Lytechinus pictus: one gene and its partners. The protein of the gene in region 1 purifies or fractionates together with the protein of each later gene. This does not show direct contact. Links are inferred from orthologs where the notes say so. Each region holds a gene or a part of one and is shown in the gene's direction. Other genes may lie near its edges.

Region 1 (7,642 bases):
TTAGCCTATTGTTTTTAATCTTGTCACATGGACAACCATGCTGCATCTTACTTTGGCCTCTTTGTCTGTTTACCGTTCTGGAATTTGCCTGAAGACAAGAAAGTATAAGAAATTGTTATTCAGGTGCTATTAAGACTAGGATTGAGCTTTAATCCAGCTGTTTACCCATGTTTGTTATTACCATGACGACTACAGTAGCTTGACCTTGTTGATGTTATAAATAGATAATGTAGCCAGAAATAGATCAATTTTGATTTGGCTGGGACAGCTGAATCCTACATGTAGACTGTAGGATAGTCGCTAAAATTGTGACTTTCCGTGGGGCAGCAAATGCGACCACGGTTCTTGGACATGATAATATGTAAAATATTATGTGGGAATACATGCAACATGTTGCCATCACTGAATTCTGCTCCTGAACTCAAAATTAAAATAATAATATGCGAATTCGTACCACTGATTCGACTGGAAATCCCGCCATTCACCCTGTGTGTTAAGGACTTCCGCGAACGTGCGCAAGCGTGTACAATGCATGTAACCTCATTCGCGGTTATTTATTTTCTATTCGCTGTATAATATAGAAGCTACGATGGCAGATAAGATGTCGTTGTCTTTGTCGTGTTTTGACAGCGAAAATGACGTTATACCACCAGCAAATATGCTACATGCACGTCTTACCCAAGGAGAGAGGGCCAGTAAATTTCTTTCAAGTAAATAAGAGCTGGAACAAATTTAAGCCTTCACTGCATTCGCTGGTGTAGACTACCTGGGACTTCGGAATAAAAATAGCTATTCGTGCAGCAGAGAAGTTTGCAATTGACTTGCAGCCCGGCCCGACCAGCATTGCAGAAAGATCCGAATGGATCAAACTTATGTTATAGATTTTTATTCCTAAGTCCCAGGTAGTCTACACCAGCGAATGCAGCAAAGGCTTAAATTTGTTCCAGCTCTTATTTACTTGAAAGAAATTTACTGGCCCTCTCTCCTTGGATAAGACGTGCATGTAGCATTTATTTGCTGGTGGTAAAACGTCATTTTTGCTGTCAAAACACGATGAAGACGACGACATCTTATCTGCCATCGTAGATTCTATATTATACAGCGAATAAAAAATAAATAACCGTGAATGAGGTTACATGCATTGTACACGCTTGCGCACGTTCGCGGAAGTCCTTAACACACAGGGTGAATGGCGGGATTTCCAGTCGAATCAGTGGTACGAATTCGCATATTATTATTTTAATTTTGAGTTCAGGAGCAGAATTCAGTGATGGCAACATATTGCATGTATTCACACATAATATTTTACATATTATCATGTCCAAGAACCGTGGTTGCATTTGCTGCCCCACGGAAATTAAAAACTAGAGACATTTTCCTTGCCCATTCCACAGTCTAATGCAATACTGTTGTCCATCTCGTTTCTGTACTACAGAAAGAGAAAATTTGAACATGTACATGTACGATGTATGAGGTAATCATAGGGTTAACTGATTCCCTGCATTGCAAATAGAGTCCAGGGGCCCGTAACACAAAACTTAGCAGTGATCGTAGAACATTTTTCTACGATTGATTCCATTGACTACAATGTGCGATCAATCGTAAAGATCAAGCGTATGATCAATCGCTATAAACCTTTGTGTTACCGGAGCCAGGGGAGCGTTTCATCAATATTTTCGATCCGACAAGTTGTCAGATCTGACAACTTTCCTTGAATTTGATTGGCTGAGAAGCACGGTTACTATGGTAACTGTTGGATAAAATAGGACTTGTCAGTCCGATAAGTCCTTTCATATAATGCTCCCCTGGGCCCCGTCTTACAAAGAGTTGCGATTGATCCAATTAACCACAACTGTGGATGGCCAGCAACATCAACATCTAAAATGCAAATTTGTTCAGAATATTTTCTTGATATAATGATGTATATTCATACACTCATTGTTCTCTTGAAGATTCAATGTGATTCTCTTTGTTTACTAAGGAGATTATGCAAACTTCCTGTAGAAACAATTATAAAAAAACAAGAATACAAACAAATGAACAAAATACTGTTTCAATTATTTTTTTTCCTGTCTCTCAATTTCCCATCCTAATTTACATGTGTATTTATGTTCCGAAAAATTGAAAAGGCTTGTTTTTAATGGAAAATATGTTTTTGTTTTCAGTTCCCAAACTAACTGCAAATGTGTCAAGAAAGGATGGCCTCCATCCATAAATATCTTTCTTTTGTATATTGTGCTATCTTTCTTTGTGTTTCCTTTGCTTTCTTGATAAAAGAGAAGGTAATGTTTTTCACTAATTTTTCCCTTGTTTTCAACTCGTAAAATAACTAAAATGCCACCAACAAGTGTGGCTTTGAGATATTATTATTATTATTTTTTTTTTTTTTGGGGGGGGGGTGAACATTGTGTACAGATTTCAGCAATCAGAATATATATGCGGAATTTATACCTTTCTTGATTTTTCTTCACAAATCCATTATGATCAAGAAACAATCTTTAATAATAGAAAGAATTTAAGAAATTATTCATTGTGTGTCAGCAAACTAAGTACATGTACATGCTTGAGTTATCATGTGCCATGACACAAGCACCAAAGGCCCGGGGGGGGGGGGGAATTGACAAAAAACATTTTTAGACCTTAAAACCATTCTACTATGAGATGTAATTTATCTCACCAGAAATTGTATTTTGATTGTTGTTGTGAATAACCCCTGGTCCGTGAAACATCCAAACCTGTATTCTCTCTGATTTATTTATCTGTATTCTGATTTTCTGAACTAGCCTGCATTTTATAGTACCCAAATTGTCTACTGGTCAGTAAACGTTCAGTGATACAAAGGAATAGTCATATACACTGTCTGACTCTGGCACTCTGCCATTATATGCTTGTACAATCCCTTTCACAGTCAAACAATACAACTTTTTAATATTGGTCAACTATACAACTCTCTGACATTTTTACTAGACCTGCTGGATTTTTTTTGGAAAATTCTGCATTAACTTGTGTGGATATCAATTATCATCACAATGAAAGTAATGAAAACCACATGAAAATATCCATGGTCATTAATGAGGAAAATATTAATTTTAGTGCATAGCAAGAGATTCAAGTAGTAGTCGTATTTGAATATGATGACGCTCTTTAATCTCTCCAGATTATACGTTCTAGTCGCTTTCGTAATTGAAGTCTATATGCTGCATTTTTGCCTTTAGATGGCGCTTTTATTAATTGTTGACCTAATCCTGCACACTGAATGCCATCTGATGGCAAAATAGCAAATGATTTGAACTGACTTTAAGGACGTTCCACAGTTATATTTGTGCGCATTATGATCTGCGCATAGTTTACACTCTGCGCGCTGACGTCACAATGGATGAACAGGTATTAATTAGCTGCGGGTATGAGCTGATTTTTCTCATCTTCTGCACTTTAACTGCAGATCCGATGCGTTATTTTATGAAGCTAAAAAATTGAATTATTCCATGGACCATTCAAAAAAATATTCTCTACAATTTCAAAATACTTTACTCTGCAGTGCTGCCAAGAATCACGAATATTAGCCCGAGTTTGAATAAATGGTAGAGTGGTTTTGATTTTTTCTTCACATAGATACTAAGCATTCGGCCCATTTTTGGTGTTTTAAAAAGCACATTTGCTCTAATAAAAATGCTGATAGTTTAAAAACAAGCACATGAACCCCTATTTTTTAATGTTTGTACCTCTTAGGTATACCTTCCTCTACAACTCTGCAAATTTTGGTGAAAATGACATGGATTTTGAATAAAGTGCAGCAATTATTGTACGTTTGTAGTTTGTTACTGAAATTTTACATTTTTCAGATTGGGATTTTGTTATCTTTTACGCCATTTTTAAGAACTGACAGTGCTGTTAAACTTAAAATTGCAAACAAATAGCACTATTAATAGATTCTCCATTCTAACGATACAATTATTAACTCTCTTGCGAAATTTGATGACTTTTTCATGTATTTTGAATGAGTAATGGAGGTTTAAACTCATTGTAGTAATCTTGGGCGGTCTAAAAATGCCAAATTCTTTTGAATGCGCAATTCTTAAGAACATCAATTTGGGTGAACTTTGAAGCTCTATAGCAAAAAATCAAGCACATGGACCTATGTTAATTTTTGCATATTTCGAATATTAAGGTTCTAAAGTATCTATGTGCAAAGTTTGGTGAAAATGACATGGATTTCACTTTAACTGTGGAACGTCCTTAAATAGACACTAGCAATTCAATTGCATTCTTTTCCTCATTTTATTAGCACAATTTTTAGACAAAAAAAAAAAATGTTTGTTTTCATTATTCTCAAATCAGTTTTTATGTAAATGTTGAAGATCTGTGTGATGTGTATCACCATGAAGCTCCATCGTGTATCATAGCTTAACTTCACTGTGCGGAGGAGCTTCTCAGTGACGTGTACAAGTATGTAGTTTGCTACTTTTCTGAGTATATGAATGTGTGTTATGTGTGCAGAGATATTACATGGATTGTTCATAAACGAACACCAAGGTACAGCCCTACTTTTTATCTAGCATCGCTAGTCTTGTCCACAGGCTTCACTACAATGCATTTCCTTTCAGAAACAATGATATATTTCAGATTTTTTTTTTCATTTGGCAGGGACATCTAAGAGAAGCAAAATGTCAGCTTGCCCTAGGATCAGTTGAGGCAGCAATAAGAGCTCTCCAGAGGGTAACTGATATAGAACCTACCAACAAACAAGCTTTGTCAGAGGTGAATGAGTCGGACTTAATAACATTTTTTTTGGCCAAATTATTGTCACAAATATGAGTCCTTAAAAAACTTATAAAACATACACAAAAAATTGAGGAAAAGTGAAAATTTAACCCATTCTCTGCCTATTTCAGTTCTTAAAAATTACAGAAAAAAGAAAATCTCTAAAACCATGAAAATGGCATTTAGACTAGACCCATTCTGGAAAAAGAGGCCTATATAAACTTTAAGAAGCATTTTGGGGTAAAAGTTGGAAACCGGACTATTTCACACAATTCAAATATGCTGAATCTGATTAGATCGGTTCCCAAGCTAATTTCTCATGTTTTGACCACCTAATTTGCATAAACAAAATGGCTGCCAAATTGACAATTCAGAATATTATTTCGACAATGTTCTTTAATTATATTCGCTTTCACAGACATGAATACTGCAAAATCCTGCATACATACGTGTACCTTTCGGGAAAACTTGTTATTTTTGTTTGCTGCTAATTAATTATGCAAATTTATGCATATTTTGGATCATTATGCTATAATTTGATAATTTCAGCTCAAATGTTTATGTTTTTGGTACAAATAGCATTTACATCATTATAAATAATTGTACGGCCCTTAGAATATAATATCACAGTGATTAATAATGTATTTTATTGTTTTTGAATTTCTTTGTATTTTGTACCTTTTGTTTTGTACATGTTTTGTTATGGGATCTGTCAAATTATTGATTATCAATGGCAGAAAATAATTAGCTTCAATGATTTAATTATGTAGTCACTTTTTTATTCGCATATATCCATGGACATAAACAGATGCACCCACTCCCACACCCACATCTGCATACAAAGGAAAACTCCTGCACGGAGGGCCTTCCCATTTAAAAGCACACTGGTGGAAATCCAACGAATTTCATGAACCTATCTGTATTCAAGCGAATGTCACTATTAATTGCTTATATTTTTATTATAAAATGGTATCTTGAATTATGATATCAATCAATTCATTCATATTTACAATTTTAGATGATGAATTATTAAATTTGAATCATAACAGTACTGTAATTCTCAACTCCTAATAGTCAATCAGTTGCATTTAATATCCTTTGGAGTAGTTATGTTCCCGACCAGCAGAATCTGATCACACATACATGTATATATATTTAGTGTGTTTTTCTTCAGCAAAATGAAGTGAAAACCGTCTGCTGAAAATGAGATGTCCTGTGTTTTACTCCATTACGCTCGTCAAATTGTCCCAATATTGAACAAAAATTATCAGAACTTAACCCACATATAATCCATCTAATTTCTCATTTTGCCTATCAATTAGACCGTTTTCCGTGTTTTAAAAGCCAGACTGTGATGTTCTAAAGTTCCACAACGAATAGGTCACTGCATATCCTTTTAATAAAATGTTTTAATCATTGGACTTCATTAACGGATTACATGTGCATCTCCATAATATATCTTTTCCAATGCAGTACTGCACCTGTCCTATCAATGATTGCCGCTTTATCCAACTTACAGGCATCCAGCTTCCCCCAGCTTGATATACACCTTTACCTTCGGGGTGTTGAATTATCAATGTCAGTTATCATCGATTTGGTGTTCCATTGGATGGCTTGATTGATAGGGCAGCCTCATATTATAAAAGTCATCTCTAATTGTTGAAATCAAACCAATTTAGTACAAGTATTTTGCGGAGGCAGTTCGTATCGAAGTCATCGTGTTTGTGTTCTTGAGATATGTCCGATTCTCATGTCACAGATCCATAGAGAAAACCTAAACTTTTGTCTTAAGAGAGAATCTGCTGTCTAACCAGATCTTGTTTCAGGTGTTAAAATGCACGGAGTGCACCTTTTCAATACCGCAGTGAATTGTGTAATGTCTTCTAGGCCATTTATCGAACTTCTAATATTCACACATCTTCATATCTTCATAAGATAGACTATTTCAAATTGATAACAAAGATATCTTTCAGAGGATGGTGGGTTCCTGGCATGTTTGGCGTTCCTGTAGGTGATTATTAATCCACTTATTTTGATCGGTATTAAACCCAACAGCATCCAATGGCTTACCCAGCTCTGATAGGCTGCATGCGAGTCTGAGATATCACCATCAAAGTCTAGGTCGAGACATTTTTCGATTGTAGAGCCAGGATTTCTCTTTCTATGAGGAAAGCAGTTGCCTAAGTTATGTTTGACTTGTCAACCGGTTTTGATACCAGTGAACATGTCATTCTTCTTAGGAGACTGACAGTCTGTTTTGGAATTGATGATTCTGCACTCCAATGGCAGGTTTCCTCTTACCTTGCCAACAGAGCTGTATGAAGCTGTATTCATCACTGGCATGCAGTCTCCTGTGATTACCCTTTGATATGGAGTTCCTTGGGAGTCTGTCCTTGTACCTTGTTCTTCAAACTGTACATCACTCCTCTGGCTCTGTAATGTGGCAACATGGTCTTGGTATACACTTCTATGCTGATGACATCCAGCTGTATACCTCACTTTTGATCCAAAAGGTAAATATGGAGAGGTTCGTGCAGCTGCTGTTGTTGGTGCTGCCATTGAGGATTCGATGTTGGATGAAGGTCAACTTTCATTTCATTTCATTTATTGGTTTTTGCAACATTTTTCATAACAAAATTCTGGACAAGAAAAATACATATCTGAAACTTGACATCAAGATAATGAACAATTGTTTTGTATATAAATCCTCAAACATAGCTTACATAAATGAAAATCATTAAGTGGTATTTTCTGTTACACAATAAATAGGATGGTTGCAAGGGTCGTCACAAAAGCAAAGCTTGAAAACGTAACAACCCTGGAATATGGCCAAAATAATTAATATCTATTGTCATTAAACGTGCAGGAGCTTAACAATAAA
Region 2 (7,342 bases), on another chromosome or scaffold:
ATCATGTCTCTGTAACAGAGGTATAATTTGAAGCATTGTAAGTTAAGATCCATTAATGGTCATTACATACCAAATTACCCTTTCTGCCTTAGAATATTTGCACAAGTTCAATTGATTATACTAGAAGAAAAACATTTTGCATGTCAAATTCTTTGCAAGTAAAAGCACTTTAAATTAGAGTTTAAACAAGGAAAAATATACAAAATTATTGACATTATATTTAAAATCATACTAATCCTCAAGGTTCCACTTCCGTCTGTCTCTGGAAACATTTATGTTTCTGTCTAAAGGGGAAAAAACGAAACAGTGCTATCTTACGATCTCCAAATCTTTTATTACTTTGAAATATCTCCTTCAAGATATTACTTTCAAATGTAGATACCTCTGTTACACGGACATCATGTCCTTGTAATGGTCATATTGAATAGCATTACTTGAATATTTTGACATATTTTTCTAGTATCAACACACTAAATGCAAGTTAACTCATCTTACTCAAGTGTAGAAATACAACATCTACAAGCAAGCTTCTGTAATTCATATCAATGAACAGGTAAAATGTTTTTTTATTCATACACAATTATAAAATTTTTTGATACCTTTGATACAATATTCAGGTGAAAAATATGTAGGGAAAAGGTACTAGTTTAGTTCTTCTAAGCTATGGTTTTTCAAGACAAAACAAGACAAAGTTCGCATGGAAGACATGGACAACGCATTTATACCTTACACATATAAACTTGTTCAATTTGTTAACTCTAATTTGTTTTACCTCAGTTACATGGACATCATGTCCTCAAAATGGTAGTGTAGAAGTGACATTAATTAAAATATAATCATGTCATCACTGGAACTTACATACATTAGATAAAACATTAAGTTCCAACATGTGAAAAGGACAATTGTAAAGTACTTAGTGGACAAATTTAATTTAAGAAACTCACCACCTTTATATCTTCTGTTTTTTTAACAGAGTTGTAAGCGAGAAAGTAAAATGTACTAAGCTATTCTAATGATCAAAAATAAAACTGCAAGAACTCTTTGGTAAACTTCTTACTGGCAAATGCAAAAAAATGTATTACACTGTACACTAAACCTGACTATTAAAATTAACATGCAATATTTCTCTCTGCATTCAGGTTACAAGTTTATGAACTTCAAGAAGACTGGTGACCCAATAAGAAATTTCAGTTTGGAAGAGGATTCTGTCAATGTCACAAAGTGGATGGAGGTAGAATTGTGCCTCGCCATCAGGCCAGGAGTACAGGTCACCAGATTGACACTTCATGTACTGAAGATATACATTTTCACCTTGAACAGAGGCTACCTGTAGTTGAGAAAAATAGTATTTGGAAGTTTGACTATATTTTTTAAGCAATAAGCAAATATTTTTTATATCATATCAAATCATTTACTTATTTATGTCTTGACATTTTCTCATTAAAGGGGGTGGATTACTAGGGACAATGAATCTGATCTGTTCTTGCAAAATACACAGGAACCTTCACTTTGTATTTTTTCATAGCAAATAGAATTCATCATTTCATAGTTCATAAATTAAATATAAAGTTACGTTTTATAGAAGGTTTTTGTATTTGTGTTGTTGTGTTCTACTTTGTTTTCACAATACAATTACTTGCCCATTACCTTTTCATAAATTATCTGTACTTCAATTTCATTTCTCAATGGATTAATTTAATCTAATTTTATTCTGCATTCTAATCAAGGGTGGTTATCTAGACAATTCCATTTAGTTTTTTATGACCATCCTATTTAATTTTCATTGCTGAAGTTTAATTGTTCAAGCAATTACATAATATATGTATGTTTTATTGGAATTAAATAAATTAATGGAATTCAAATCTGCAATTTACCTTCTGATACAGCAAATAAACTCTTGTGAAACAAACTTGATTGTGTCACATTTTCTTTTGTTCACTTGTACATGTTTTAAAAATCTCATTATATTGCAATAAAAAAAAATCACATTGAAAACAATCACACAGGCTTTTGCTTTCTGATAAAACGAATCCCCCCCCCCCCTCTCCTTACAATTGAATATATAGAAATCAAAATACAAAATATTGAAAAAATATTGAGAGAAAAAAAGAATGTGCTGAAAAGTATAACATTCAACAAGATGAAAAGTTTTGGGAAGGTTAGGCCTACAGCCAAGAATTACTAGTAATTGGATTATGGCCATGCTTCATCATACACAAAGCACATGCACTATGTGTAGGGGGTAGTAACAGAAACATTATTTTGCCCCCCCCCCTTCTTTCGGATTGGGATCAGCTGACAAGCAAAAAAAAAAAAAAAAAAATGGGCGGGGGGGGGGGGGCCTGCCTCCCCCGTGGCGCTGCCACTGGTTCTAAACTCTCATTTTTTGGGGGAAATTCAAATTTGATCATCAGGTCTTTGATACCCATATTACGTAGAATCAGTAGGAGCCAATTTCAACAAGGCGAGATTTTGTACCAAATCTGAGATGTCAGCATGATCATCGGTGATAGAGCAGTTTTGAGTATCCATTGGCCTATTGAAATAACATATTTCGGTGTTCAAAAAAATCAACTAAATTGCGATTGAATCATGTCAGCTAACATTCAAAACATGTTTGCACGGAATCACAGTAATAAAAACATTATTTCTTTGGGGCCGTTTAGCAAATCTGGAACAAACACGGCGATGTCTCAATCACATATTTCACTTACACGAAAAGATACATGTGGGACTGTAGTAAAAGATTATGGAAAATTAGCGAGATTTTTCAAACTTAAAAACACTTTCTGCACGATAATATAGTTTCACATTTTTAAGATAAGGTTTAACTGATTTAAAAATACGAGTATCGGGATAAATCTCCGTACTTACGTCGCTTTGAAAGGGAAAACATCGTGGAGATCCAATCCACCGTTACACGGACATTGCGGGAAGATTCCCAATTGCAATGCTGCAAAACACCCGATATCATAGCCGTTCATGTGCACGTGGATTTCGGCTAACATCCCGTCCGTCTGATACATACAACGACGGTCTCTTCTCCGGTCTCTCCTTTTTACATACGCGATGAAATGTGATCCACCGTTACAAATTTGACCCGGACATCGCCCAAAACATCGGCGACCCTCGATTAATTAACATGACATTAACATTGGTTTTCAAAGCTAATCTTTTGATGAAAAGTTGCTTACTGCCTGCCCTTTATTTCTGACACATAACTTTGGAAAGAATGATTTCTGACTTTTAGTTATTTACCACTTTACCGCCGTTACAGAAAAAAATAAAGGCGGACATCGCATGTAACGGTGGTATGCGATGTTGTAGGAATTAATAATGATATGAAGCCTCTTTTCATTTGCTATCCCATTACTGTTTTGTTATTAAACAAATGTTGCTTTATCAATCATGGCCATTTGAATTTGACTTAGTTTATCTTTTAATTAGATATCTTCAACTGAAAATGACCATTTTGGATGTCACACTTGGTACCCCAAAAAAGAGTCTGGACATCATCATTTAAAGTCTCATCATCAAAAATACTTGAGGTTCAACATTTTTATTTCTGCATCAAGTAATTGCTTACATAACTGCCTTCCAACAAAACCACATTGCAACATCCAAACGCCAAACACATTCTCAGGATAAAGCCAACAATTCATAGGGAACACAAAAAAGTGCTGTTGCCCCAACCCCGTGGAATGACCCATATGACTAAGTTATGTCTATGAGATGAAAGTATCCACAAATCCTTTCAAATATGTGAAAAACTTTTCTCCTGAAATTGCTGCATTTTTAAGTAAGAATGTCATGAATTACGCACTTTCGGAACGGTGACACAATGATGGGTAAATTTTGAGTCACCGATTCGAAACGTCCAATACATTTACTACACAGACATATCGCGCATGCGCACACACACGCACCGATCGTACACAAAAGTGCATTGACTCAGCTGCGTTGTTGAGACCTTGGGTTGAGATATACGTTGAGACGCCACCCCCTCTTATTTTGATAACAATTGTCACCCCCACTTTCAAAATGAAATGATCGTGAGCATTTTTTTATAATCTATATTTTGATAGCAAATATTGGTAACTTGAGCGGGCAGCTATGGAAACATTGATTGCTTAGTGTGGGCGTCTTAAATCTTCGCCCGAGAAAAATGGCAGCTAAAATTTGCACCGTATGGACCAAGTTTGCAAGTTGTATTTATTTATTTCACATCTTTATACAGGGTAACTAATTCAGCTATACACGATAAAAACATTGACAGTCTGATTTTGACTGCGCTAAACTCCTTTTTCTTTTGCTGGATCTTTTAACCAAATGTTGCAGCATTTCAGGGAATTACTGAGGATTAATATCAGATGCCACAAGACACTTTTCAACATTGCAAATGATTTCTAGAACCATTTTGGTCAGGCAGTGACAGGTGAGTGGCGCAACAGTAAAAAAATTGCACATGGCAACTCACTGCGCATGGACGTTAGGCTTACTCTCCATGAAGCCTGGGATGGGATGCCATAGGCCCACACACACCGAGTATTTGGAGACAACAATGTTGCTCCAAAATACTTGATTTCTTTAACTTACTAATTACAAACTTATGTAAAAATGTAACCTTTTTACACGAAAAATAATATAACAATTAAGAAAAATCATGTAAGAAGATGAGCAGATACTCACAGATGTTATTGTCGCCATCTTGCCGTCTTTGTTATCGTAGCCTAGCTAAAAGAGAGGGCGACAATATCATGAGCAGTGCCAATTTAAATAAAAAAAAGATACTTCCATTGGCCGATAAATATCATGAATCGTAAAATACTTGCATTGGCCAATAAATATGATATTTATTGCCGATGCAAGTATTTTACGATTCAAGATATGATGATATTTATCGGCCGATGCAAGTATTTTTTAAAAATTTAAATGAAAAAAAAAGGACAAAAAACAGTGACCTACTTCGGCTGTCGCGCAACTCCCACTTCCCTAGTTTATCTGAACTTAATACATAAACATATGTCCATTGAGTCCCTGTACAGATCGAGTTAGAACTTCGGTCTGTGTAATTGGTGAGTGGAGCCAACGGAGTTCAGCGGAACAACCAATATAACAGAGACCGAAGCTTTTGGTCTAGATCTACTTAGACCGTACTAATGTTATATCTCAAACTGACTCGAGGATGAGGGGTTCGATCGAGTCCCGCTCATCATGCGGAAAGAGTACATCTATCCAACGACGACGAAAGTTCAATGTCCATGCCAACCTATATAAGAATCATTATTAAACATCAAATCCCCCACTTAAAGGGGAATAATGCATTGAGTCTATGGGGTAGAGTTCCCTTTCACTGTGAGCAGGATGGATGGCTAGCCATCTTGTATTTTTTGTATGACACGAGGATAAACCAACAAAGTTTTTTTTAAATGTCAGTACTGCAATTTTCCAAACAGACTAATTTAGCTGTCTACACTTCACTTGAATGAAGACATTGCTACTGATAGTGTTAGCAAGTTCAATAACACCAAACATGTCATGAACTGCCTGATTTAGTTGGCTACAGTGCTGGCATTGTTGCTCAACCTGACTCATTGAGGTCAAGAGTCCGGAGACGGCAAGAAATCTTTATTGAAGCTAAAATATTGTAGTTTCTGATGATAGATGTACAGACATTCAGGTGAAAGATTGTTTAGGAAGGTTGGGTTGGGCAAAATTTGGGTAAGAAACTTTAAATTCAATTGCTAGAGAAACCACCTACATTTGGGCAGGTTACGATTGTCTTTGTTCAAATTTCATGAAGTTCTTCTTCCTCAGGGTGGACCTGTGTCTTTCACACTTGAAGATTAATACAGGCGAATACAGGTTCTCTTTTGTCTAAATAAATATAATGTTTTAGTGTCATGTACATGTAGGTGTCACTATTTATGTAAAATTGAATACTCAATTTGGCAAATATATAAAATATTAGAATCTGTTGAGGTAATCATGGCTTCACTTCATAACCTACTTACCTAGCCTTTAACCTTTTTGAGACAAAATTAGATCTTTAGAAATTATTCATCGGCATATTTTCCTTTTATCAAACAGTATTCATGATCTTGCATTCAAGCCTGATGGAACCCAACTTATTGTTGCTGCTGGTAATAGAGTACTGGTAAGCCATGATATTATTATGTCTGTATTCCAACTCAGGAAGCCATTACCTGTGTGTGGAATGTCTTATTCCCGCAAGTGAAATATTATATTTCATTTCTTTGATGTATGCATTCAAAGAGCTCATCAACTGCTGCTACAGCAAAACCTTGCATTAAGTGTGAGTGCTGTATGTTTTCTGGTCAGTTAAATTTCGACACTTGAGATGAAAGATGCAAATTAAATAATTTTTCCTTCAATAATTCATAAATTCTTTAGATTTAAGTTGGAAAATATTATGAGAAAAAAATTTATTCACAATGCTCTATGATATTTGATGCATACTAGAATTTGAGAAATCCAACTGCAAATTAAAAGTTGTATATATCTCAAGTTCTTATCTAATCCCCAATCTTATTAGATTGTAACTCAAGTCAGTTGATCTTGTTTGCTTCTCTTCCTTTTTATTATTTATCTCTTGTTTTTCCTTCTTCATCTTCCTGTCTTGTTATTTTTCTTCAATTTCTTGTTATTCCTCTGTATTTCTCTTCCCTGTAAACCATTTTAAATAAAGATATGAATTCATAGTATTGGAAGAGATTTTGAAGTTGTTTGATAGTATATCATCATAATGGCCTTTGAAGATAAATTGCCTTTAAGCAGGGTTGGGCTCAATTACATTCAAAATACATTCCTAATTACATTACAGAGATGATCCAGCTACTTACCAGCTTCTAATTAACATTATATTAACCTGTTAAAGTCAGCCCAATGAAAAATTATTGTCAAGTTGATTATAATCTGGTCATTAGCTGGCTTAAGCAGGTTATTGTAATGCTAATTAGAAGATGGTTAGTAGCTAGATCATCTCTGGAATGTAATTAGGAATGTATTTGGAATGTAATTGGGCCCAACCCTGCCTTAAGTAGATATTCACATTGTTTGTTTTTATCTTCATAATCAAATAGTCAACTTGATGTGTTTGAAACTTGCGAGAAATTTGAAAAATCACATTTAAACTTTTTTATTTCTTTTCTTCCTAAGTTCCTTTACTGGAACATTAGTGGGAGCAGAACTCAACAATTCATACCAAATGCTTGTATTTTTATTTCAAGATAATTAGCTCGATCAAGTACGATTATTTTTTCATCGTGCATTTGTTTATTTCAGTCTAAGATCTACTCTGTTTTAAGTTGAATTTACTTAC
Region 3 (7,449 bases), on another chromosome or scaffold:
AATGTTGTTTATAAAGTAAAGCTAAGAAATGACTGTTAGGACATGGGCGTTTTGCCCCCCCCCCCCAAAAAAAAAATAATAAATAAAAAAAATAAAAAAATAAAAATCACGACCAAGAAAAAAAAGAGAGAAAAGGATTGGGATTATGGTGAAATATAATGTTATTTTCCAAATATTATGTCAAATATATCGCGCTTCGCGTTATCATTATTTATTTAGGCCTTGTGAGATACCTCAATGTGTTTTTAAGAATAAAATTTCGGAATTTCTTTAACTTCTACCCCCCCCCCATGTTATTTTTATTTTTTTATCTTGGTGCCCTCTACAAAAGTTCAACAAGCCCCCCCCCCCCCCCCCCGTGCAACCCTGCTGAATAAATCACAGCTTCGCCACTGATGAGGAGATTGAGTCGATTGCTTCGAGATTGCATTATTCCCAAGAGGTTATCATTTATATTATTGAAGGCTATTCTAAACAACTAGTAAAGAAACTACAGCTCCCGTTCCAGTCACACAATATTCTAGTATAGGGCCTTCTCTGGTGAGAAGTTAAACCAAATTGATACCCAAAAAAATCGCTCCCATTGATATTACATTATATATTCATGGAATTTTTTCAAGAACACATTAAAAAAGTGGTCTTTAATTGCCTTTTTTTTAATGTGATTATATAATAAGATAATTCAAAATACATTTAAGGCTTTTAAGTTACATTTAAGTTAGCCTGGACGGGAGGGAGGGGGCGCCATTTTTCGAAAAGTACACATGGGCGCCAAAAATCAGGTCAAATTTGGGCCCCCCTCCCCACGAAATCTTGGATCCGCGCCTGGTGGCGTCACCCATTTTACTGTAGAACATCAATTTCTGTTTTGGATTTTCGGACGTCTACTCTAAATATCATTATGCTTCTACCCAGCATCTCATTGAATTGACGACTGTGGTAAAACACTATACATTTTGCTTTTTTACTTTAGTGTATTAATTTTCAAATACAGTGATATCTTAAAGATATCACTGTATTTGAAAATTAATACACTAAAGTAAAAAAGCAAAATGCAAAATGTAAAGATGGGGAAAGACATCTTTGTCTTAAATCAATAAAAAAATATACGCAACTTTTTACTGACAAATCAGTGACGTATCCGATCCGAATTATTGTTTGATTCAGAGATCATTAATTTGTTCATAATTTCGATATGTTCCCTCTAAAACTTTCGATTCACTCTCTTTAATTTACCCTCTTTGTATATGGCCTATCCCAGGGATTAATATCAATGCCTAAATTTTATTACCTGTTTGTACTTCGTTTTTACTCTGTACTTTACTCTGTACAAATTCACGAATTCTGCCATTGGCTGCGAATTTCATGTCATTTTAAAAAAATATACAATGCATCATTGATCCATGTCTATTAGACAGATGCGTTCAAAATTATTTATTTATTATGACATTTTGTTAAATATAAATAAAATCTGCAGTACGATAGAAGCCTTTCACGCACTGATCTAAAAAAAAATCTTTTTATTCTTCTTCTTTTGGTGCTAGAGATGGAAATTAAATAATTCCCATATCAAGTCAGTGTAGCTTTAGTTTTACCAAGTAACAAAAGAAAGATATTGCTTTGAAAATAAACGGACATGTTTTGCCTCATTGTGAGCAGTTTAAATTTTTTTTGTGTTTGGTTAGAACATAATATCTATATTAATGCGCGGCTGTGATTATTGATAAAATGTAAGAAAAGATTGCACTTATTACGTTGTGTTTCGGGTACGACCTGGGGAATAAGTATGAAATTTTGATGATGATGATATGCAAAGGACTTATTCTATTCTGTATGATTCTGCCTGTACATCTCTCAAATGTCTTAAGACTATAAGCTTGACTCTATACAAGAGAGAGCTTTGAAAATCATTAATTACATGCAGGCACAATATACAATGTATCATTTGAGTCTCTACGAGTTTTGACAGGTGAATTACCATTGTATCTTCGGAGAAAACCCACTGTTTAAAGGGATGGTCCGGGCTTAAAATATTTATATATAAATAAATAGAGTAAAATTCACAGAGCAAAATGCTGAAAATTTTATCAAAATCGGATAGCAAATAGCGAAGTTATTGAATTTTGATTTTTATCAATATTTTGTGAAAACAGTTATATGCACATCGTCATGAATATTCATAAGGTGGGCTGATGATGTCACATCCCCACTTTTCTTTTTCTTATGTTATTGCATGAAATCATAAATGTTTCATTTTTTCATACATGTGTAAATGATGTGTCTCCATTATGATGAAATAAGTTGCGGCAATAAATAACTAATGCATTTAATCAGTTGTCAATCCAATTGTTTTAGTTCTTGGTAGAAAAATTTTGAATAAACCTAATTTCATATAATAAAATACAAAAGAACAAGTGGGGATATGAAATCATCAGCCCACCTAACGAATATTAAAAAAACATTCCGAAAACTGTTTCACCGGAATCATGCAAATCTTTTAAATTCAATAACTTTGTTATTTGTTATCCAATTTTGATCAAATTTTCAGCATTTTGCTTTGTGAATTTTACTCTATTTATTGAGATATAAATATCTCCAGCCTGGACCATCCCTTTAATGATAAGTTTAGATATTATTTGTTGTTTAACACTTCATGCAATCCAAGTAGAGAAATCAGCATTGATCATACGAACAGACACCAATGGATGAAGGGGAGGACCTTTTAAACTTCGAGCCTGTAGAGATGAGGTACTTGTATAGAAAATCAAGACAATATTTATTAACAAAAATCCCGGAATGGCGTTTATCCCGCCCTCCTGCGTCTTTTATGCTCATCGTACTAAAGAAAAAAGGATATGCTAACGGCTAAGATGAAATCTTTTGTTCTAGAAAGAATTGGAATGGTATGGAATGGTTATTTTACATATACAGATGGATCCCAACAGGAAATATTTAAAACAAGAGCAGCATTTTATGTCCCTCAATATAAAATAATGTATTTCAGGAAATGTAAGTCTTGAGAGCGGAACTCGTGGCCATTCATATTCATTGATCATTTTTTTGAGATTCCTTGTTAGCACTCAATTTGACTATTCCTATTTCACCGTACTATTGTTAAATTTCAAGTCAACGACAGAAAATTTTGATACGAATAAATAAAGAAATATCAAATTCATTGAGCATAATGCTGAAAATTTCATCAAAATAGGATGTAAAATATAAAAAAGTTATATGATATTTTAAAGTTCACTTATTTTTCACAAATCAGTAATATGCACAACTCAGTGACATGCTAATCAGACAGTCAATGATGTCCCTCACTCACAATACTTAATTCTTTTGTTTTTTTTATTGTTTGAAATATGCAATATCTCGAAGTATTTTTTACAGCCTTAAAGACTAAGTTGACTGCATGAACAATTAATACAATGCTAAGTGACATGTTTAGGAAGGAATTGTTGTTTTACTTGACAATGAGGAGAACATTAGAATATTTCATATAATAAAATACGATAGAAATAGTGAGTGGATGACGTTATCAGTCTCCTCATATGCATACCGACCAGGATGTGCATAATTATAACTAATTTGTGAAATTAAGCGAAACTTTAAAATGTCATAACTTTCCTATATCCGATTTTGATGAAATCGATTGTTGGATTTTTCTCTTTTGATTCAAATCAACTTTTTGTTGGGGTGGACTTTTCCTTTAATGAAATTTTATTTAAATTTTGAGTGGATTCCGGCAGTGTGATATATGTTAACCGCAACGAGACCGTTGATAAGACCGCCTTTACCAAGAGAGGAGCTACGAAAACTTCTTTGTAAACATTGTTTTACCAAGCGCTATAAATGATATTACATGCTTACGCTTGACATAAATTATTATAAAGGTATCTAGCAAGCAGATTGGAATGCTTCTGAAAATGCCGCTATATGATAATGTTTTTTAGCAGGCAAGGTTTTTCTCGGAAAGAGGAAATTCTCCTTCATCATATTAGAGTTAGTAAGTACAAATTAAACTATTATGTGTTTCAAATTAACCATATTCACCAGGCCTCTGTGAGGTGTGCAAAGTTTTTGAAACTATTGAACGTATATTTTATTTTGTTCAAAATATGAAAAAGAGATACGCTTATGTTTAATAATGATTATCATGCGTATAGCATTTCCATTTATTTGATTACATGATAGAAGAGCAATGTCGAATACATTCCTTGCTCACGGGCAATCATTTCTCATTTCTTACACGCGTTATTTACAATTATGTATTTTGGAATATTATATTGGATTGTAATTTTGTAGGACCTACAAAGTCAATGCGAGATGCGTCGCATTGATTTTTCTTTGACGACGACGTCCTACTTACCAAATTAATGCGACTGGCGCATATAATCTGGAAAGATCAAGATTGAAGAGCGCCATCATATTCAACAACAACAACACCAACAATTACGCAAGAAAGAGAAGTCGGCCTACTGCTGGACCTGGCTAAATTAGGGACTTCAGACTTCAATCGGTTTCGAGACGAAAATCATAAGACATCTACTATTAATAAGGAAATCAGCGGAATTCTCGTCATAAAATTTGTGAATCCTTTTCTGGTAGTAATTGGAGGATCTTTTCCATGCGTACAGACAGATAATCCAGCGTAGCCCGTCTGAGTTTGATAGTTTCTGAGCCGCGGCTGCTATCGCCTTATCGGGGTGGATCGGGCGGAACGCGATGGCCTGTATCGCTGGCAGTGGACGTGAGGTTGAAGAGAAGAAGGCCCAAAATGAGATGATACCTCCCTCTCCAAATAATTTTACAGATGATCATGATGGTGGAGGAGGCAAGCAGGCCAATGAATATCTGTTAAAGACTTTGGATGCTTTGGAAGTTCGTGTTGAGAAAATGAGGGAGACGGCCAGATCAATTGATGATGAAAAGACTCGTTTGTTGGACTCTCTAAACACAATGATGCAGAGCGAGGCTATTGATCATCTCTCAGAAGGTAGTTTGGTTATTTTGAATTCTTTATAGGGATAGTGCAAGGCTATTTCATGGGTAACCCAGGGAGCTCCGACTCGCTTTGCGTGCCGGAGCCCAGGAGTCGACCGTGCAAAACGAGGGAGCCACGGGACTGGGGTAGATTGAGGTCTCAATAGTAATTTAGTATGATGGTGGGCCCCACTCACACTATTGCGAGGTTAGTATGCTATACGAACCTCGCACAACCAACGTGTTTTTGTAGTGGATTTTAGAGTTGTCGTTACCATCGCTTCATAACGTGAATGATGTTAGCCGAAACCCATTCCGCTACTCACCATGGCTTTTTCTGGTAGAAAGCGTTCCATTATCAATTTTTAACATATTTTTTTAATTTAAAAAGGACACAAAAAAGAGCAAAATCGCTTATCTCCGCCTGGAAAGTATTTTTGCTGACGATAATACTTTTTGGAAAATATTCAAAACGATGACAAATTAAACAAAAAATATAGAAAATTCTATGTACCTTGAACAAAGCCCCGCAAGTGCTACCGTTCGTTTGTCATTTAACGTTCAACCAAAGTCTTTACAGTAAAAAGATTGAACACTTTGCCGACTTCGCGTAACGCTTTGCATCGATTTACGTGTAAGATAATTTCTGTGTCTAGTCTTTTAATTGTAGTGTCTTTGATATGAAGATAAATCGCGTGCCCTCTTTCGCTCATTAGACAAAAAATTTGAGAGCTAAAAAGGTAGCTCTCGTATTTTGTCAACGAGAAGAAAAATCAACGCTTAAATGACGCATTTTGAGGGATATTCATCAAATTATGAGGAATTGACTTCACATCGTTTCGTAAGTTTCGTAGTCCTGAGGACTTCATTCTGTAAGTCCTCGTATTAATTTTTCGTAAATTAATGTTATTTGTTGAATGCGCCGTGCCTTCAATTATTCTGTAGTCGGCGGCTGAGATGTAGCCGTGGGTGGGTGGGCCCCAAGTCTGCGCACCTAACAATTTGAGTTCAGATTTAACATGAATTTCTTCTTATTTCACAAAATCTTTCAGTCAATAATTATATAATATTGACTGGTCTTGAGGGGAACATCAAATATATTGCCAGCAAAAGAATCATATTGGCCCAAGTCTTTAGACGAGGGCAATATGGGTCTTTTAAGGGCAATATATTTGATGTTCCCCGAAAGGAGGGCAGTCAATATTTTTATTATCATCCAAACCAAGATTTGCAAGAAGATACTGATTTCTTTTCTATTTTTTATGACTTGACTTAATTGTGATTGTAAACACCTATGTTTTCGTGATGTAATTGCCACAAAATTTTCGTAATTGGACTGATCTAGAGGGAGAAACAGCAAATCTGCATTGCCGAACGCTCAGCGTTTGAACGTATTATATATATTCTCTCAGTCCCATATGTACTTTTGATCGTCACATATATCCGTGTGTATATTGCTCCCGACTAAGGTTTACGTTCGCTTCGGTGTCCGATCATGGCGGGTAAGGGGGATGGCGCCAGAGTGAAGTGCACCCCTAAAAGCAAGAAAAAGGTGAAACATACCAATCCAAATGATTCTGAATGTGATATAGCTGATGACACTGTAACGATTGATATGTCTGAACATTCACCTAATGATGATTATCACCTTCAAACAATTCTCACTAAATTACTCAAAACAAAAGAATTAATGAAAACAATGGAGACTGTCTGTAAAGAAACAATGGATAAAGTAGTGAATGTTCAATGTGAAAACATGCGTCGCCACATAGAAGAAAATGAATCAGCCAACATTCAACTTCAAAATTCTTTGGAGAGTAAAGAAAAAGAAACATATATTCTGGAGAAACAGCTACAGAATGAAATCGAGAAAAGAGAAGACGTGGAGCGCCAATTGAATATTCTCGAGCAGTATACAAGGAGAAACAGCATTATAATTTTTGGTGTGAAAGAGAAAATAGGTGAAGATACCGATCAAATAGCAATTGACATTGCCAAGGATCAGCTTGGGTTCAAGTTGAAAAAACACCACATCGATCGATCCCATCGAGTAGGTCAAAAAGATCCAACCAAGGCTAAACCCATCATCGATAAATTGTGTTCCTACAAACAGAAGACGCAATTTATGAAAGCGAAAAAGACATTGAAAGGGAGTGGAATTTCTATTCAAGAAGATTTGACACTGACAACCCTCAAACTCCTCAAGAAGACAAGCCAACACAAAAATGTAAACGCGGCATGGACAAGTGATGGCCGTGTTATCGCCTTGGTTAAAACGACAGATCCTAACACTTCAATGAAGAAACAAATCTTCAGAGAAAGTGACCTTCTTGCCTTATAAACTCTTTTAACGCTACAGTTTGTCTATTCCCTATATGGGCAATTTTAGTAGATCCTGAAAAACTGTGTTATATTAAATACCCTTCTATAATATTCACGAAACTGTTGTTTAAATCAAACCACATT
Region 4 (7,648 bases), about 27 Mb from region 1:
TCGAGTGGCATTTACCCTTGTCAATATTCGTTAGGGAAGTTAAATCAAGTTTAAAAAATTGCAATACATATTTTGTTAGCTTAGGAACATCAATATTTAGGTATTCGTATAATTTTTTTAATAATTAAAGATAAATGTAAAACGCATTGCTTAATTTTGCCCCCCCCCCCCAAAAAAGGGTTAAAAACAAAACAGGAAACGAACAAGTCGGACAACTGTAATTTTTGCTGTCGTTGTTCATAGTTGGAATGGGAAAACCGAATAACCGGTCCACAGAATTGTAGTTCATCTTAAAACTTTCTGGCCCATAGTAATCCTAAGCAAGATCCTTAGTAATGCATGACCAATTCTGGGAATCCAAAGATACTTTACCATCAAATCCTCGAGTGGCATATACCCTTGTCAATCTTCGTTACGGAAGTTAAATCAAGTTACAAATTGCAATATTTATTTTGTTAGCTAAGAAAAATCCATATTTAGGTATTCGTATAACAGTTTTTAATAAATAAAGTTAACTGTGGAATGCATAGCTTAATTTTGCTACCCCCCAAAAAAAATGTTGATAGAACAGGAAACGGACAAGTCGCACAACTGTAATTTTTGTTGTCGTTGTTGTTCATAATCATGATAGTTGGAATAAGAAAACCGAATAACCGGGCCACAGACTTGTAGTTCATCTTAAAAGTTTCTGGCCCTCAACAAAATATAACAATCGCAGGCCGATAACCAGGATGAGTTCTCTGTAGTGGCGTACCGTGAGTCACGGCATTGGGGGGGGGGGCACCAGCAAAATATTTGAGTCACTTAGTGAGCGCGCGAAGCGCGCTCAGTTGCCAGGTAAACTGACCTAATAGGGACATTTTAAAGGCAGTGCCATTAAACGGATATGTATGTCACTGCTCAAATAATGCGAGCGCGAAGCGCGAGCTGAAAATTTTTGATATGCAGACCAAAAAAGGACATTATAAGTAATTTTTTTTAATCATGATACATACCTGTCTCGCTAAACAAACAATGCGAGCGCGAAGCGCGAGCTGAAATTTTTGTAAATATTGACCCTAAACAAGGACATGTTAAGGACTATATTTTAGGAATCCATTAAGAGTATACATATCTCACCATAGTCATCTAATGCGAGTGCAAAGCGCTTGCTGATTTTGCTACATCTAAACACATGAAGCACTTTTTGTAGTCATTGTAATCATGATACTACGCATCTCACTCATCAAATATTGCGAGCGCGAAGCGCGAGCTGAAAATTTAGGATATTCAGACCTGAAGAGAGGCATTTTAAGGCCTGTTTGTAAGAATTCACTAAGACCATACGATACGTATTTCACTAACCAAATGATGCGAGCGCGAAGCGCGAGCTGAAAATTTTTGATATTCAGATCAGAAAAAGGGACATTTTAAGGACGGATTTTTAGGAATTCATGAAGAGCAGACATATCTCACCAATCTACTAGTGCGAACGTAAGCACGGACAGGAAATGTTTTATATTAACACCTAAAAATGGGGCAATCACTTTAAGTAGTCATGAAAAAGAACCATATGTCACTACATAAAACAATAATAAGTCGAAGTGCGAGGAAATATATTTGGTGTATATTGACTTAAAAACGTTAAACGGACAATGCGAGTACCGGGAACAATGAAGACATCTAGGCCTGAGCAAAATAAACTTATGAAATAATGTTTCTTATATATTATAACATAACATAATTATAATATAACATTATAATGAACAATAATTTCTTCATTCCCACTACGTTTCATTTTCTTTCTCCCTCTTTTTCTCCTCTTCCCCGTTTTTTTTTTTGGCCAGCCGATTGGGGGCCACGTGCCCCCCCCCCCATGCCCCCCCCCCCCCCGTAGTTACGCCACTGGTTCTCTGGGTTACGAGGAACCCCGCCGCTTGCCAATAGCCAAAAAGATAGAGAAAAAAGGAGAGAAAAAAAGGACATGGGGAAATGAATAATTAAAAAGGGAAGGCGAATGAAACAAGAGGCTTAGAATTCAGCCTTGTATAAGTTGATATACACAAATTATTACTAGATTCTATATGATCTAATCACGATTTTTTCCATTATTTTTTAGATCGAGATACGCAATTACGCATCCTGTTCGTGATTAAAAAAAATGATGAATAGCCAAAATGTCTGATCAGCGAAATACGTATTTCATTCCTAATTCCAACAACCGTGAGCGTTTGAAATACCCCTTTCCATGTTTTCATGTCATTCAGCGCTTTTCATGCGCATTAAAGGGGTCATCCAGGCTAAAAAATTGATCTGAACAGATAATTATCAGACAAACGAAATAATACAAATATGATCAAAATCGGACAAGGAATAACGAAATTATGTTATTTTAAAGATTTGCCTTATTTTAGTGAAACAGTTCCATGCATATCTTCATGAATATTAAAAGAGCTTATTGATGGTTTACATAATACCAACTTGTTCTTTTGTATTTAATTGCATGAATTTATTTTTTTATTTAAATTAATTATATCGTCTTTATTTAAAGCGTGCTTAAAATGTCTGGTTTTCATATTGGAATGACACATATTTTCAGCTCGCGCTTCGCGCTCGGATCATTTCCTTGGCAAGACATCCATCCTTTTTTATGATCACAAAAAGTTAATAGAATGTTCCGTTTTGGGGTATAAACCTCCAAAAGCGTGCGTTTCACATTTGCAATAATTCGTTTATTGGACATATATCTTGTTCTCAAATTAAAACGTTTATAAATTATTTTTTCAGATCAAAATATAAAAAAATCAGTCACATCAATTAAGATACCCATCCTTATAATTGGTACAAAGAGTGTTTAGAATGTTAAGCTTTCAGTCAGAATACCAAAATAAAATCAGCTCGCACTTTGCACTCGCAATAACAGTTTATTCAGAAACATCCTGATCATTTTTACCACAAAAAAATGCTTAGAATCTCAAGTTTTCAGGTTAGAGTATAGAAACGTTTTAGCTCGCGCTTCGCGCTCGCATTATAGATTGGTGAGATCGTTAATCCTCCTCATGAGTCATTGCGCAAATAGTCCGAAAAGGGGTATTTTTAATGTTTTCAGGTCAGTATATTGCGAGTTTCAGCTCGCATTTAATTCCGTTACGTCACAGTCATTTAATTTTCCTTTCCAATCCATTGGATATTATTTTGATATAGCACCTATTCCTTTAGGTTACAAAGCGCTGTACACACACACTACTCCATGTTTAAATTATCAGGTTGTAGTGGCGACTATACTAGGCTTTGTCACAATTCATTTATCTTCTTCATTTGTTTGAGATGGGTTTAGTTTCGATCTACTCCTTTTTACGCTTTTAATGCCAATTCTTTATTCTCTTCAAAATCGGCCCTTCTCCCTTCTCTTGACTTTTAGTTCTTTCTTGGAAAGCATGCAGACCAGTGTTATGTGAGCGGCGTTTTATTTCTCTTTCTTTGGCCATGAAAGCTTTCTTGTTTCTCCTCCTTCCCCTTTCTCTCCATCGTTTTTGCCGACTTGACGCCTGTTCTGGAACCAGAATCGTACTATCAAGCTCAGCAAAGTACAGCAGAGAAGTGTATTAACTTCCGTAACAATAACTGAAAGAACTTATATAGCAAAGGAAATTAGAAATTTTAAGTTCTAAATAAGATGCTTATCCTTAACATTTGTAGTATGAATTATTCAAAACTCTAAAAGCATTAAATATCGTATATAATTATCGGGAGATTTTTTTCGTTGGTAATTTTCCCTCTGTTCAAAGTGATGTTGAAAATAAGTTGTGTAATAATAATTTGACATGGATGAAAAGCTAAGATTTTCATGGGTACCTAGGTGGAGGGTACCTTACATGGTTTAATTGATCCGGAGTGATTCAGTAAAGCACAAATTTGTAGCATATTCAAGAAAAAAATGTTACGGAAGTTAATGCGTTACGGAAGTTAATGTCTTTATGATTTATGGCCCAACGCAGTCCTTATTTAGAAGCCCTACCTTTGAAACAATAATTTATTACTTTTTGGTATATATATTCTCAATATGGATATCCTTTACCAGTCTTTCGCTTTTCGCATTTTAAACAAGACAAGCGGCCTTTGGAAGTCATATCATTTTTTTAGGATAGTTTTTAAACAAATTTTCCATGCAATTCTTGGTTTCAATGGGTTGTAGACGTAATGCTATAGTCTTACTCCTGGCAGTCTCCATTTTAAATGTAATATTCTTTAAAATGTCATCGAAGCATGCCAAATGTCAGCCTGATCTAGCCACTACGGTATATATAGCCTATACTTTTACAGGAATGTGAATAGGGGAATATATACCATTACTAATCGAAATGTAATTCAATTGAAATTATAGCTGCCCTAGATTTAGTTTCCTAAATATTGTCATATAGTCCAAGTTACTTATCTTTGACATTTAGCCCCTTATCCTTATCCCCGACCAATTGCAGACAAATATTTCTCAACTTTCTTGTTACCCTTCTATTTTCTTGCTTTTGATGATGACGGGGGTGCTGTCATGATGACTTCAAGTTGTCGCGCCTGGAATTAGATGTGAAATCCAGCAGTTTGGTGTTTTACGGTCAGCGTATGCCTATTTTCTACACCATATAACCACACGTAAACAAACTGTACACGTGTCAAGAACCAGAAGTAAACAACCCGTTCGACGACCTGTAATTGCTGATCAGAAATGGAATCCCAATCGGATCGGAATGCTGAAACAAGCTCCAATTGTCTTCTTAGCTTTTGATATCTACAATCAGCAAAGCCGCTCCACCAACTATGCAAATGAGCAATTCAAGTAATTTCAATTGTCGACCTTCATTTCGTCATTTCGAAGATCAAGACTGAACTCACTCGGGCTCAGCATCATCACCGGCTTCCTGCGGGTGGGACTGCCGGCGACAGTGGCAGCAGTCCGACGACACGAACTGCGGAGACAGCGCTAGCGTTCCCTACATTCAAGTACCAAAAGTGTATTTTAGGGTATGTCCACAGTTTTGTCTAGTTTCATTTGATTTTATTTGCATTATCACCGGGTTTTTTTACATTACCGGTAGGTCTACAGTGGATTTGCTAAGAATACTACAAAAGAGTAGAAAAAGAAAAGTTGGCACATTTTTTTCACAAATTTCAGGCCTTCATTTAAAAATTTTATTCTGAATAGATCTAGTCTACTCTAACTTTGTTAGTTAGACTAGACCCACTCACACGTATTGCGAGGTTAGTATGCTATACTCACCGCGCACTATGTCTATGAACGTGTTTACGCAATGGATTTTAGAGTTGTCAGTTAACATCGCTTCAGAACGCGAATAATTGTTACTGTTTATAGCCAAAACTAATTCCGCTACTCACCCGGTCCAGGGCTTCATTTTCTGGTGAAAAGCATTCCATTTTCAATTTAAAAAAATGTTTTTTATAAGAGATTTAGGAAGGAAAAGTTGGATAGACCCACTCATTCAATGAACAAGGTTATGATATAATGTTCTCCGTCTACTCCCTGGCCCTGTTAGGTGAAATAAGGTTGCCAATGTTTGGCTTATTTTCTCTTGTTCTGGGGACAAATGCTGGATTTTTTGACACTGTCAGTTTCCATTACAACTATTCATATAAATTGGCTCTGAAGTAAATTGAATTCTTTACCGGTAATTATTTTTTCTAAATTGAAGATAGAGATCGTAAAATTACAATTTTCTTGAAATTTTACTTTCCTCCAATAGAGGGCCTACATAAATATGCCAAAAATTCAAGTTTTGAGCGCTCTGGTGAAAAAAAAATGATCCCCAAGTTACTATTGAAAAATAAATTGCAACTGAATGGAAATGGGTATTTTTGGTTACAAAAGTAATATTTTAATGATTTTTTTATGTGTGTTGTATACTGCATAGATCTACATTCCCCACAGGAAGGGTGGTTGCAGTGAACAAGTGGATAGACCTAGCCAAGGGGTCTCTTAGAGAGTAAAAATCATTCACTACAAGTTTACTCTCCACAGAGCCAGAGATTGTACAAATATGTGCGTATACCCTTACATGAATGTGAAGTTAGCCCGGGGGGGGGGGGGGGTATACACACATATATTGGTGGTACGGGGATGTGTCGCCTTGATGACCCGTTTTTCAGACCTAATTTTCGGTTCTCTAGATATTCCGAATGACAAAAGTTCTGAAATGAAATTCCGAATGAAATGTGGACATAAGGGTAATTATGTATCATTGCTCATCTTACACAAGTCTTACATATGTAGGTCACTTGATCAAGGTCAAATGTCATTTAGGGTCAATGAATTTATCATATTATTATGTGAATGTTTTTTTTTTGTGAATGATTATTTCATCAAAGTCAGCTATATGGAATCGCAAAATGCAGGCGAGACTACCAGTGGCGCTCCACTTGTTTTATCTCATTAGTTATTTCTCAATATAGAAGACTGCATCAGGCTAGAAGTTTCACTATAATAGAGTGACAGCTTCGTGAGTATGTGTGGAATATTTTCCAAGATCTCAACGAACATGCACCCAAAATAAGAATTGAGGGTATCAGCTTTGTCTTGCTTATTCTTGACCCATGATCCGTCTGCTGCATGCAGGTCTGGGCTCCATCTTTCAAAGAGTTACGATCGATCGAGTCAACCTCAACTATATGGAAATCCATTAATGTCGTAATATTTTCTACATGAAATTTGCACAGTGCCCAATTGAAACAAAAGAGGAGCACTCTGATTTTTCTAGAAAACAATGAAGTATGAATATAGAAAATATTTTGAACAAACATACATTTTTGATGTTGCTGGCTTTCCATAGTTGTGGTTGATTGGGTCAATTACAACTCTTTATAAGGCGGGGCCCTGGTATCCCAGAGCGTGACTTCGTATTACTTTTCACATACTTCCAAAATGACTTCGGATTGAATTTATCTCCTCTGCTAGCTTTTTAGATTCAAGTAAACGATATTTCTTGCTTTCATGTACAAGCAATGATTCTTGTCATTGTTATTCTTTTTTTAGCTTTTCCATGGTTTCTTTAATAGCCGAATCGCTACCCGAGCTGACTTTGTGATCATTTTTTTTCTTTTAATACACCTTTTGTAATGGCACAAACTCTTGAAGAGACATAACTTCTATTCTCTTTCTCATATAAAGTCCCAAAGCTCCAAATTCAAATGTGTAGAGTATATGTAAAAAGTTGAAGTTGAGTCTGAATCCATGATTCATATATAATATTTTTACATTATCTTTGAATGATAATATTTCATCATTATCCTTTATTTTTTCTTTTAGAACTATACTGAAATAGCCGATCACCATGCTGGAATCTTACATATCACCATTCCTATTGGGATATGTAGACAAATACATCAAGAATCTGAAACCCGAGGATTTGAGGCTATCGCTATGGGGTGGGGACCTGGTCCTGAACAATCTAGAACTACGCTTGGATGCTTTGGAACGTGACCTTAACCTTCCTCTGTCGTTTGTGAGTGGTTTCATTCACGAGCTTCGCATTCATGTTCCTTGGACGCGGATTGGCTACGAGCCAGTCGAGATCAGTATTAACACTATCGAATGCACGGTCAAACTGTGTGATGCAGAAGCAGATGGTAACGAAAGTGTCAGCTCAAAGTCCAGCACCGGTAC

The links.
Region 2: the proteins of dnaJ homolog subfamily C member 7-like (region 1) and intraflagellar transport protein 122 homolog purify together in Homo sapiens (co-immunoprecipitation; 3 studies listed by BioGRID and IntAct, counting the BioPlex papers as one, with this or other methods). This does not show direct contact. The link is inferred for Lytechinus pictus from reciprocal best matches to the Homo sapiens genes DNAJC7 and IFT122.
Region 3: the proteins of dnaJ homolog subfamily C member 7-like (region 1) and BAG family molecular chaperone regulator 2-like purify together in Homo sapiens (affinity purification with mass spectrometry; 7 studies listed by BioGRID and IntAct, with this or other methods). This does not show direct contact. The link is inferred for Lytechinus pictus from reciprocal best matches to the Homo sapiens genes DNAJC7 and BAG2.
Region 4: the proteins of dnaJ homolog subfamily C member 7-like (region 1) and intermembrane lipid transfer protein VPS13B-like purify together in Homo sapiens (co-immunoprecipitation; 3 studies listed by BioGRID and IntAct, counting the BioPlex papers as one, with this or other methods). This does not show direct contact. The link is inferred for Lytechinus pictus from reciprocal best matches to the Homo sapiens genes DNAJC7 and VPS13B.

The regions. Positions count from the first base shown.
Region 1 is NC_087245.1:11,878,104-11,885,745, reverse strand, and holds the start of dnaJ homolog subfamily C member 7-like, read left to right. Parts: upstream 1-4,627; 5' UTR 4,628-4,758; intron 4,759-7,642. UniProt on the Homo sapiens protein: Acts as a co-chaperone regulating the molecular chaperones HSP70 and HSP90 in folding of steroid receptors, such as the glucocorticoid receptor and the progesterone receptor.
Region 2 is NC_087247.1:78,869,353-78,876,694, reverse strand, and holds the start of intraflagellar transport protein 122 homolog, read left to right. Parts: upstream 1-4,337; 5' UTR 4,338-4,435; intron 4,436-6,090; 5' UTR 6,091-6,157; intron 6,158-7,342. UniProt on the Homo sapiens protein: As a component of the IFT complex A (IFT-A), a complex required for retrograde ciliary transport and entry into cilia of G protein-coupled receptors (GPCRs), it is required in ciliogenesis and ciliary protein trafficking.
Region 3 is NC_087261.1:44,277-51,725, forward strand, and holds the start of BAG family molecular chaperone regulator 2-like, read left to right. Parts: upstream 1-4,426; 5' UTR 4,427-4,725; coding exon 4,726-4,996; intron 4,997-7,449. UniProt on the Homo sapiens protein: Co-chaperone for HSP70 and HSC70 chaperone proteins. Acts as a nucleotide-exchange factor (NEF) promoting the release of ADP from the HSP70 and HSC70 proteins thereby triggering client/substrate protein release.
Region 4 is NC_087245.1:38,392,797-38,400,444, reverse strand, and holds the start of intermembrane lipid transfer protein VPS13B-like, read left to right. Parts: upstream 1-4,624; 5' UTR 4,625-4,995; intron 4,996-7,291; 5' UTR 7,292-7,316; coding exon 7,317-7,648. UniProt on the Homo sapiens protein: Mediates the transfer of lipids between membranes at organelle contact sites. Binds phosphatidylinositol 3-phosphate. Functions as a tethering factor in the slow endocytic recycling pathway, to assist traffic between early and recycling endosomes.